Coturnix japonica: one gene and its partners. The protein of the gene in region 2 interacts with the protein of the main gene of each other region in a biochemical or structural test. Links are inferred from orthologs where the notes say so. Each region holds a gene or a part of one and is shown on either strand. Other genes may lie near its edges. The genes, in order: NPR2, natriuretic peptides A and NPR3.

Region 1 (3,471 bases), on a different chromosome or scaffold from region 2:
CATTCTCCACCGCCATCTCCCCTTCCCCTCCCCACCTCCTCCACCCTCCTGTGTCCCTTCACTACCTGCAGGCTGCCCCTGGGGCAGTACTCAGTGACGATGCAGATGTTGGGAGGATCGATGCAAGCCCCAATGAAGCGTGTCAGGTGGTTGAACTGGATGTCCCGCATCTGGGGGTGCAAGCAGAGCTTGGTGGGGAGAGGCAGCACCCCGCTGACCCACCACCACAAGGAGCAGATACTGCACTCCAGCAGAGCACAGACCCCATCCCAGACCCCACACCTACATGTTTGAGCTCAAAGAGCACCTGCCGTGTCAACTCAATGCGCTTCTTGTTGACGTGCTTGATAGCCACCACATTGCCCTGGGGACAATGGAGGGGTGAGTGCTCACCAGGTAGCTCTGGGGAGACATGCTGGCAGCCCATAGGGGTGCAGACTGACCTTGAAGTGTCCGGTGTTGGCAAAGATCTGGTACTTGCCATGTGTGGTCATCAGCGAGCCATAGCTGGAGCCACGCTGCAGAGAGGGAGTGTTAGGGACAGGGACAACACACCCACAGAGCAGGGCAGGGGCAGGACAAGGTCTGGTCTGCAGGGTCAGCATGAGGGAGTGCAAAGTCTATAGGCTATGTGCTACAGTGCATGGGGGGCTGTGGAGATGTAGCACTACAAGGGATGAAGGGCCTCACAGGGGATGGATAGAGCATGGTGCTCCATAGGGACTCCGGGCTGTGGGGGGATGGAAGGGCATGAATGAAACGTGTCTCTGAAAGAGATGGAGAGCTTTGCAAGGGATGGATGAACACAGGGAGTACAGTATGACTCCGTAGGAGACATGGGGCTATGCAGGAGGACAGGACAGGAGTAGAGGGATGAAGTCTCACCAGGGACAGTGTAAGCCGGCTGCCTGCTCCCTTATGGTACCGCTCTGCGCTCCCAAAGTGCAGCTCATCCCATCTGATCCTCCACAGCATGCTGGCCAGCTCCTTCTCCAGCATCAGCTTCCTAGGGGACACAATGGGTCAGCCTGCCCATCCCTACTGCCCTCCACCCTGCTGCCCCCATATCCATACCCACCTGAAAATGAGGAAACTGGAGATGCCGAACATGACGAAGGTGAGCCCGGTGCCCAAAGCAACGATGGCCAATGTGGAGAGGGGGGCTGCCATGGGTTAGGGAGGCTGTTAGCACTGTGTGGGGCTGCACACCCCAAGGGAAGGATAGAGTGGGACACCCCATGCACCCACTTTTATCACAGGAGGGGTCATCCACATCAAAGACGCAGGGTGGGTTGTCCAAGGGGGGAGCCCCCTTCACCCAGCGGATGGGCCGCCCCAGCCAGCGGATCTGCTTCTCTGCACCCGAGTAGTGTCCCACCACCTGTGGGGAGACAGCTGAGCCCAGACCCCCACACACACTGCCCCCATCCCCCAGCAGGACCCCAGTGCTGCCCCCACCTCGTACTGCCCGCTCTCGGGGTCACCCATGGCCCACAGGTTGAAGTCAGTGTCACGGTCGTTGTTGCTGTCCATGCTCACCAGCCCCGTCACCCCTATGGCACAAGTGAGGTCCAGGTGGAATATGGAGCACAGGACCAATCCCTGCAGCCCACCTGCCCTCCTCCCTTTCCCCCTAACCCCCCCAGCCCCTCTCCCTGCTGCTACCCTGGAACTTGCGGTCCCGCATCTTCTCGATGAGCTGCGTGGCGTTCTTCTTGGAGCCGCCCTCCCGCAGGGTCTCGTTCAGCACCATGGCGTACAGCAGCACCCCGTCATAGAAGCACCCCGCCACCAGGTTCATCTGCAGGAGGGAGCTGAGCACTGCATGCATTCCCTGACAGCCCACCACTCTGTGCCAGAGCCATGCACACCTCTACAGCCCCAACCCCACAGCGGGGCTATGCTCAACCCTGCAGCTCCGTTACCCTGCAGCAGGTACATGCACACCTCAGCAGCTCTATAACCCTGAATTGGTGGCATGCATGCCCTTGCAGCCCTGTAACCCCACAGTGGGGCCATGCACATCCCCCATAAGCCCACAGTGCTGCCACAACCACCCTACAACCCCATAACCCTGTACCACATCCACTCACAAGCCCTGCAGGGACATCATCACATTGCACTGCTCCAATCAGGTACATATGTCATCACCCTCCACCACATCCAACCCTCTGCAACCCCAAAGGGACAGTCCTCACATCATGCAGAGCTCACCAGGGAGTAGTTGAGCTGCACCCCAAACTTCTGCTTGGCACGCAGGATGAGCTGGGTCTGGAAGTGCTGGTACTCAGGGTTCTGGGGCTCATAGTAGGTGATCACCAGCACAGTCTGCGAACACAGCAACGCACGTCACACTGAAATCCCAACCCAAACCCCCATGTAGGAGGGTGCAGCTCACCTGGAAAGCCTCACGCAGCCCCGCGTCCTGCCCTGAACCCTGCTGCCAGGGCTTGAAGGCGTCATGGGCAGAGTCCCCCCGCAGGCTCTCCCCGAAGACATCGACGTAGAAGAAGACGTAGTCGCCGTTGGTCAGGTTCTCGCGCTGTGCCAGCTGCATGATGCGGCGCAGCATCTCCGGCGGCCCACACAGGTACACCACTGCCAGGATGGGGGGTGTCAGTGCACAGCTCCCACCTCACAGAGTCATGGGGTCACCCCATAGCCCTGCTGGCCTGGACGTGCCCATGGCACATCATCCGGTATGGGGGGAAAGGGGAACCCCAGCACATGGGGTGGATGGATGCCCTGTGCACCACGCGCTGTAGAGTGCCATCACCTTGGCTCAAAGGCTTTGGGGAAGGGGAATATCAGGCTGGGAAAGGCGTCAGGGCCATGCCCCAGAGCCCGCTGGGGAATCTAGGCTGAGGAAAGGGACAAAAACATGTTTGGGTTTGCGGTCGGTCGTGCGGCAGGAATGCGCAGGTTCCCGGATTCCAGCACCTTCGGCCGGCCACAGCATTAATTGGAAACAGAGCATCTGCTGCTGCGACCCAAGAGCCAAGGGGGTGCCCGGGCCCCGTCCCACCACCCCCACCGCCCCACAGCTCAATGACTGCGCCTCTATCAACCCCACAGGGACACAGAGATGGGCGATGCGTGGCGCTGATAGCAGGTACCCTGCTATGGAGCCAGGCACCCCGTGGGCTGCTGTGCAGAGAGCGTCCGGAACCCCCCCGAGCAGGGGCCCTCCTGCCACCGCCTCCTCCCTCCCTCCCCCCGGAAAACCAGGGCCCCCGCTCCAGCCAGCCTGGCTGGGAACCCACGATTGAGCAACGGGGGAGGAGGCGGCGGGCGCCGGAGGAATGTCACGCTCAGCTGCTGGCCCCGTGCACGGCCCTAACCCCGGCACTGCTGGGACTGGGTGCACGGCGACGGGGGGATCGGGGCCAGCATCTGCATATGTGGACACTGAACTTGGTGAAAGCCTTCATCCGCGGGTGCAGAACCCTTGGAGAACTGCACACGGGGAGG
Region 2 (4,364 bases):
CACATGCAGAGTGAGACAAGACGCAGTCAATGATGTATCTTTCTGTTGATGCTTATAGCCTTTATTTGGTCAGTGCTAGAAAGCATATACAATGAATTCCCTTTCCTCCCTCTAGCTAGCTTGTAACTCGTGGAGTTTTGCAATAATTTTTACTTCTTTTCTTGTAAACTTTGCTTACGTGAGGGATTTGTGGCAGTGGAGTGGCAGCTGCATTGGCTGAGTAATGTGTACCGGCAAAAGGACTTTCTTATCACTGAAACTACATCTATGTTGTGGGTCTTCCAATGTTGTGCAAGCTTTTGTCTTTTTCCTCCTTCTAATCTGTTGTAATTTCTTAGTGTGGAGAGGAAACCTCTAGGGAAAAACTCATTCTTTATCCAGCTTCATACTTTCTTGGTCTCGTGTAAGTGAGATCCAGCCTTGTGGGTACCAGAGTACCAATAAAACGTAGGCTTTTGACTTTAGGAAAATACAAGAAATTTTAATGCAAACAGACAGGAGAGAGGTCCAGCATAGATATCTAACGTGTTAGTTTTATTTCAAGATGGTCTCAACGGTGCTAGAAATGTTATTAAGAAAAAGAGTAGAGATAGAGATCAAATAAATAAATAAATAAATAAATAAAAATAGGAATAACTTTCTGTTGATGAGTTTAGAAAGCTTAGTCCGGCTTTCATCATGGGAGGAACAGGTTCTGTGAAGCGTTCTTCAGAGCACGGGTCAGGAGGTGTTCCTAATTCTTCCTGGAACCTGCAAACCAAACATGCAGTGTTAAGTGTTACTGGAGTCTTTCAGTATCTGCCACCATTGTCAGCAGTGCTTTCATCCGTCTAATCAATAGATGTGAAGTTTATTTTGGAAAGCCAATATTAGCTTAAAGGTTAGACTAAAACAAGCTCCTTTCTTAAAGAGTTTACTCAAAGCATTTAACTGCTTCTTATTATTAAAGACTTAAATGAAATCTTGCTCCTCCCTTGCTGCAAAAACCTAAATACAGCCCATCCTATTCACTAGAATGGCTTAAGTCAGACTCACCATTGCAACCCATTCCACTCAGGGAGCCAATCCTATCGATTCTTCTGCCAAAGCAGCCAGAATCTCTCATCATCCTGGGCATCTGCAGCCCCCTCAGTCTCTTGAGGAAGGGGTTCCTGTAGGACAGAGGAGCGCTGGGTGCTAGTTTGGGTTCAGCCTTCTGCTCATCGCTGTCATCTATGGGTTCTGGTGGGATCTCCTCTTGGGTTTGGGGCTCTTGCAGGTCAGGATTGGACTCCAGGGCTTCAATCAGTGCGAACTTATCCTCCAGTCTCTCCAGAAGAGCCTATGAGAGAAGGATTAATTTCATAAGACTCCTGGTTTCATGATCATTTATTAGCTCTTCCACTCATCAGACTCTGAATTTGTCTATGGTTCTATAGCCACCTTTAAGGAGTCTCTAAGGTTGGATTCCAGAGATGCTGGTGCTTCCTGAGCTCTGTCCTCTGTGTTAAATCTCTGTTTATATTAATTCCACCTATCTCTAGCTGTAGCTGGGAGCTGACTGAAGCTGTCTGCCACAGAAGTGTGTCTCACTGGAATGGATAGAAGAGCTTTTGGCACAGGAACAAAACAAGAGATACCACTCAACCCAGCAACAGTAAACGATTTCAGAGTACTTCTGAACCCATAGTGACTCCCATGTTCCCAGAAGTTGCCTGCATTGCTGCTGATCTCCTGTTATCTCTCTCTTCTTATTCTGACTAAAGTCATCTGCTTGCCTGTAACCTCTAATTATTGCAGTAGGCATCACTGTGAGAAGCTCCTGGTGTTTTCTGCTAATCTCTGCCCTAGAGGTTACAGGATTTCTGCTCTTTTAAGCAATATGCATCTCCATAACAATACCTATATGAAAAAGTTGTCTGCTATCTAACCTTCTGAGTATTATTCTCTATAATTTCTAAAGCTCTGAATAACAGGGAACCTGCTCAAGGACATCTCATCCATTTAGAAGGACCTGATTGTCCATCTCTGGAAGTAGGCTAGGGAGAAGTGAACCTTATGTCTTGCTTCAGGGTGAGTTGTGTCACAGTTACATGATCACACTGTTCCTCTCGGTTTGCACAAGTAGTTGTGCAAGACTTTGAGAGCTCTGCTTTACCTCTTCATCCGCAGGCAGCTCTATTCTCTCATATCCCCAAATCCAAAGCAGTAGGGCTGTCCTCGCTATCCCACTCAATGGGATAAACCCACTTGAAAGTTTTCTATTTATTTTTGTAGGGATGCCATGATGCATTGCTATGTTTTTACTCCGGGGTATTGCTCTAATTCATTAAGAAACCCAAAATGAGGCGACTGATTAAGAGAAGGGGGAAAACCCAGAGCAGACATCTCACATTCTGTTTCCCATTGCCACCCAGCAACTTGGGTGATCCCAGCACTGGAGGGTATTGCCCTACAAAGCTTCCCTGAAGCCCTGTGAAGAATCAAGACTTTAAACACTACATACAATTTCTAACGTAGCTATCTGACCATACAAAAGAAAGGCAAAGACACCATTGCATGCACTTCTAAGCCCCCCTCTGAAAGTGTAACCCTGTAAAAACAAAGATTCCGCTCACCTCCATGCTGGCCAGTTCTTTGGCAGGGCTGAGGTTGTAGATGGGGTTGGCTCTGCTGGGCTGCAGCTGGATGAGAAGCAGCAAGAGGAAACCACAGGAAAATGAGCCTCTAGTGTCCATGGCGCTGGGTTCGTTGGGAATATGGGAAGTTCAAGCTGTTTCTTCGAGTTGGCTCTTCAGGTCTCTCTCTTCTTTCTCCTGTTCTCTCTCTTTCGAAGCTCGTCTTTTATATGGTTTGGTGTGATCTCTGCTTCCTGGGTTATCAGGGGGTTTATCTGGGGCGCATTCCAGTCCCACTGCAGGCATGCGGCTCTGTCAAGGGAAGATTCCCTTTATTAGCTGTCATTAGGCAGCAGCTGCTGTTGCTGAGGAATGTATGTCACAAGTCAGTGATTTCATGTCACTCCCCCTCCTCTTGATACCAGGCGCTGTGATTACATAGTCCAGTTGGAAATTCTTAGCAATTTTCCTTCAAGAGACCCCTATGGTCAGATTTTACAGAGGTGGGAAACAACCGCTCTAAACTCTTCTCAGTTAGAAGATTTCCATAGGGAAATTAGTATTTATAAGGAAAGCAAGAAGCTTTTCCGATGAGTATTTGGTGGAGAGCAAAGACTGAAGATTAATCTACTTTTAGGATGCCGAAAGAACCTTGTGCATTCTCCTTCTATATAAGGAATACGTGTAGCCACTGCATACCACGGAGTGTGATGAAAATCTCAGGTTTGGGCCATTTCTCTTTCCCCATCGCTGCAGAGGTGAGATCACAGCTAAGACTTTATGTTTGTATGTTGCCAACAACAGAAGCACCCAATCTACACCTCCTCACGGCTGCTGTGGGGACATTGAGTGCCTCCAGCCCCATGGAAATGACTTCGGCAGCGCGGCAAAGCTCTCTTATTATACTGTTAACAGCTAGACATTTAAACAGTGGGATTTCCTTAAACATTCGTGTTAAGGTTTGACCCTGCATTAATAATATTGAAAGAGGAGGTGGTCAGATTCTTGAATAATTTCTGTGTGCTGGTTTCTTTGAGAGCTGAAGGTTTTCAAGCTTAAGCTGAAAACTGCCTCAATTTAAATGAGAACTTACAGTGATGCAGATCTGCTTCTTCCAGCATCATCTTTAGGGCAACTAATAAAAGCTACTCATTACATATTTCAAACCCCGAAGCACTTTGTTTGTGCTGCATTTTCCTGACATTCCTTATACTCAAAATTGAAACAAGAGCAGATCTGTGACAAGGTTGCCTATGTCAGCCTTGTAATAATTGGTTGAGTTTTAGTAGGAATGTAGCTCTTGAAATAATCTCCAGGGTACAGCTTCTAAATAAGAATAGAACAATGAAATATCTTCTTGTGTCTTAGCAGTGTTTGTGTACAAACAGGCAGACACACTGTTCACATGATCTGCCTACCAAAATGACACAGGAAAGGGCACTCTCAAGGTTGCAAAGTCGAGCCCAAATACTGCTTTTTTTTCCTGGTATAGCCCATATGGGCTATTATGAAGCAGCACTCATTTCTGTATTACTCTGTGTTCCAGGCTGTTGATATTTAGTCCTGTTCAAACTGTGGTAAAGAAAGAGTTACCAGCCTGGCAGCTTTGTTATTGACACTCCTTGCCGCAGTGTCTTTAGAATTCGATCATTAATTGCAGGTATTTTCTTACTCATCTTCATTCTGTAAGCTGAGAATGGATGACTATCAACATTATAAATGGTATTCATTAATACCGAGTGTCCAATTTTAAGTAATCAGGGTCTG
Region 3 (3,648 bases), on a different chromosome or scaffold from region 2:
TTATGTGTATCAAGACTCCGTTTGTACGGCTGCAAGGAAACACTGGACAGCAGCTAAAATCCTGTAGCATGATTTTGCCCTGAGTGGCAGCACTGCTTCCTTCCTTGGCAGTACCGAGTCCTTTTTACTGCCTTTGGAAAAGAAATAAATGGGAAGATACAGAAAGGGACACAAACCTTGCTGGAGTCTTAAAGCTGAAAAACCTCTGTCCCAGTTGGGTACCTGCATTTCGGAGATGCAGCACATGAAAAGTATGACAGAGATTGTAACATGGAGGGGTTTGCTAAGGCAGACTACTAAGAAGAGTGGGTTCACATTAAAAAATGACAGCACTGTTGGAATGTGAATAAATTTCTGTCTTGGGCATCATACATATTTATTTTTAAAAATACTGACACTGGGAACAAGAAGTTATACTTGCATAACAGAGTTCCTAAAATAATTTCCATATTTAAATTCCTTCATGGATTGTTTTGTGGGATGTAGTGTTGCCACAGTACTTATCTGCAATTATTGCAGTCTTGGCATTAAATGCGTCTGCTCTTATGAAAAATTAAAAATATTCAGAACAGAGGGCAACAACAAACTGCAACACAGTCATCTGAGCTGAAAGAGAAAATGCCAACCGTCTGTCACATCCACTCTTAAATCATGTGTCTCTTAAAATTCCAGCACCTCCTGCCATTGGGAACAAGGAATTCACAGAAAATGTCTCTACACTTCCCTACCACATTTGCTTCCAGTGTGCAATGACCACCTCAAGTCAGTTTCCAACAGTTATTTTGCTCCTCATTGGAAAAATTCACAAAGAAACAGAAAAAATGATTAAAAGAATTATTCCATAGAAGCACCAGGGAATTTCTGATAACATAGACAGGAGGCAGATATTTGTAATTTATCCCTTGGAAAAGCAATAAGTAGACTGAACTAACTGTAATGCAAAGGAGGAGGATGCTGAGACCTCCAAGACAAATGGGCACATCCCTGTTAGGGGCTTTTGCAACATTCCTTCCTAGTCAACACCATCCTGAAATGCAAAACACATTACAAAATGCAGCAGCATACCTCCTGCAGCTGCTGCTCTTACACAAGAAGCTCCTGCTCCAAGAGGGCCTCTACACCCCAGCCAGTCACTCTGCTTGCTTCATCCAAGGTAACAAAATCACCAGTGTTAAGGAGCAATTCATCCAGGCCATTTCAGACACTTCAGGATGAGGTGAATCACCACCCAGGGGTGCCTAACTTTTTCCTGTGACTCTAAAGGGAGCCTAGCTCACATGGAGACTTGTACTTGGGGCCAGATGAATCAATTCTAATTAAATTTTACTCTCTGAGATGAAATATAGCAGCAGCATAGCAGTAAGAAGCACTAGCAGCAGCCAGAAGGGTTATATGATCAATGGTGTCTAGGCAGAAGTGAAATCAAGTCTGCAAAGCTCCCACAGTCTACAGAAAGCCAGTTTTGTGACTATTGACATAAGTAAACCTTCACCTTTTTAGACTGGTCCTGATTGAAGCTGCAATGACAAATGCTTCACTTACGACACAAGGGGTGAAGTCACTCTCAATTTCAGTCAGAACCAGACCAAACAGACCACCATGACTTGAATCATTGGCTTTGATCTTGGTCTGCCAATTTATCTTTTAGTTACTGAAGTAATTTCCTTATTGGCTGGTAGAACTTGGCACTTCCTTAGCCAACTTAGAGGACACATGTAGTGTTATCTTTGCTTCTTTAAATATCTACAACTCCGAATTTAAGCAGTAACACATGTTCATTATAAAGCTTTTCAACAAGCAGCACTGTTCGTTTCTTTAAATAATCTCAGGGGTGATAGATGGATAATGAAGTCTATGTAAGAGAATTTAACTTGCAATTAACTGATTCATTAAACAAAATACCTCATCTTTTTGTGAATGTCTTTTTTTCCTCTTTATCAGCTTTTCAAGGATTGAAAGAAAACAAGTTTTCCTTCTTTTACAACTCCCACCTGGTTTTCAATTCGAAATGAATCTGTTATTGCACTGAATTAGCTAGGGCAGGCTGCAGGAGGAAAAATATTTTCTCTGCACCTGCGAAAGAAGCTGCTTGGTTCAAAAGCCACTTTGACACTTCAACAAAATCAGGTTCCCGGACAGAAAATTCGCTCAGCTTCAGCCATATGACATTTTATAGAACTGCCAGTAAACACATTGTGCCAGTACTGCCTTCCATTTAACTAAGGCAGCTGAGATTAGGTTTAGTCTCTACCATGCACTGCCATAACAACAGATGTAACTGAAGAGGGGTGTATTTAAAAAAGCAAATATATTTAATTTTTCAGCTGATTTAACTTGACACATCTTGTCACGTTTATTTGAAATGAAGTAATTTGCTCTTATCTATCCAAACCTAGCACATTTAGACAGCCTGTGCTCTTGTTTACCAGTGCCTTCTATTCAACACAGCAGGGCTGGATGGTTTTGCACACACAGTTTCTGATCAAAAGTAAACAGGATGTATGGAAATCCTAGCATATAAGTGACTTCCGGAGACCCTGGACCTGCAGTTGCACATTCTCACTGCCAGCCCTCATGCCTCCTCTCAATAATGCCTGTAGTGCATTTCCTAGAATCACAGAAAGGCTTGGGTTTTGAAAGTACCTTAATGACCTTTTAGTTCTGAATCCCTCTTGAGGGCAAGGACACCTTTCACTACACTAGGCTACCCAAAGCCTCATCCAACCCAGCCATGTTCACTTCTTCAGAGATGAGGCATTTACAGCTTCTCTGGGCAGCCATACCAGGGCCTTCTGGCCCTCTAGGTAAATAATTTCTTCCTCATGTTTTACCTAAATCTACTTTCTTTTAATTTAAAACCATTCTTCAATATCCTGTAATCCATTCAGTTGCAATTTCTGCAATGTTATAGCCTAAAAAGAAGGTAACTGCAAAAACATGGAGAAATGGTGGTGCATTCAGTGCAGCATGTTTTAACACTAACAAACCTAAAAGTATTACCAGGCTTACAAAAGACTTTGTAATATACTCGGGCAGGAAAAACATTACCATATGATGAGCTGTTGAAGAGCTCAATATTGAAGAAAGCATAGTCCCCATTGGTCATTCCTTGCCGATGAGCAGCCAACATGATGTTCCTGATTGTGTCACCGCTGGCACACATGATTACAACTGGTGGAAGAAAACAGAAAACACAGATAAGAAAGAGTTCAAGAACTTTATGGAACAGATTCTTTAGCATGAATGCTGCCAGAGACAGTGACCTGAGCTGTCCTCTCAGTGTTGCAACAAATATGACAACATAAAGAACTAACAAAGCTAATTACCTAAACTGCTGACAGAAGATGGGCATCAAACATAGAGTGAAATTTTACTCACATCTCCTCTGAAAATAATTAAGTAGATCAACACGTTATCTAATTTTCTTACTCCGGCAGCTCAGGAAAAATTCTGCCTTCAAATTTCTTCTATTATATACATTTGTAGAGTTAATTGCAACCATAAATCTTAGTTATTACTTCAAAGTGTACATAAGACAATCTGAAGATTAAGTAATAAGATACAATGGCACTACCATTTCAATTCTTTTGAAATCTTTGGTGTAGATTTTTACCTACACTCATGCTATCTGACATTTAGGTAACTGCT

Evidence for each region.
Region 1: the proteins of natriuretic peptides A (region 2) and NPR2 form a complex in vitro, tested with the Homo sapiens proteins (3 studies listed by BioGRID). The link is inferred for Coturnix japonica from reciprocal best matches to the Homo sapiens genes NPPA and NPR2.
Region 3: the proteins of natriuretic peptides A (region 2) and NPR3 form a complex in vitro, tested with the Homo sapiens proteins (4 studies listed by BioGRID, with this or other methods). The link is inferred for Coturnix japonica from reciprocal best matches to the Homo sapiens genes NPPA and NPR3.

What each region holds. Positions count from the first base shown.
Region 1 is NC_029547.1:8,341,022-8,344,492, forward strand, and holds part of NPR2 (atrial natriuretic peptide receptor 2), read right to left. Parts: intron 2,599-3,471; coding exon 2,399-2,598; intron 2,329-2,398; coding exon 2,215-2,328; intron 1,802-2,214; coding exon 1,666-1,801; intron 1,554-1,665; coding exon 1,459-1,553; intron 1,382-1,458; coding exon 1,249-1,381; intron 1,164-1,248; coding exon 1,079-1,163; intron 1,007-1,078; coding exon 886-1,006; intron 519-885; coding exon 444-518; intron 365-443; coding exon 287-364; intron 171-286; coding exon 66-170; intron 1-65. UniProt on the Homo sapiens protein: Receptor for the C-type natriuretic peptide NPPC/CNP hormone. Has guanylate cyclase activity upon binding of its ligand. May play a role in the regulation of skeletal growth.
Region 2 is NC_029536.1:4,846,535-4,850,898, reverse strand, and holds natriuretic peptides A, read right to left. Parts: upstream 2,932-4,364; 5' UTR 2,718-2,931; coding exon 2,598-2,717; intron 1,322-2,597; coding exon 1,036-1,321; intron 751-1,035; coding exon 734-750; 3' UTR 44-733; downstream 1-43.
Region 3 is NC_029547.1:9,260,981-9,264,628, forward strand, and holds part of NPR3 (atrial natriuretic peptide receptor 3), read right to left. Parts: intron 3,172-3,648; coding exon 3,049-3,171; intron 1-3,048. UniProt on the Homo sapiens protein: Receptor for the natriuretic peptide hormones, binding with similar affinities atrial natriuretic peptide NPPA/ANP, brain natriuretic peptide NPPB/BNP, and C-type natriuretic peptide NPPC/CNP.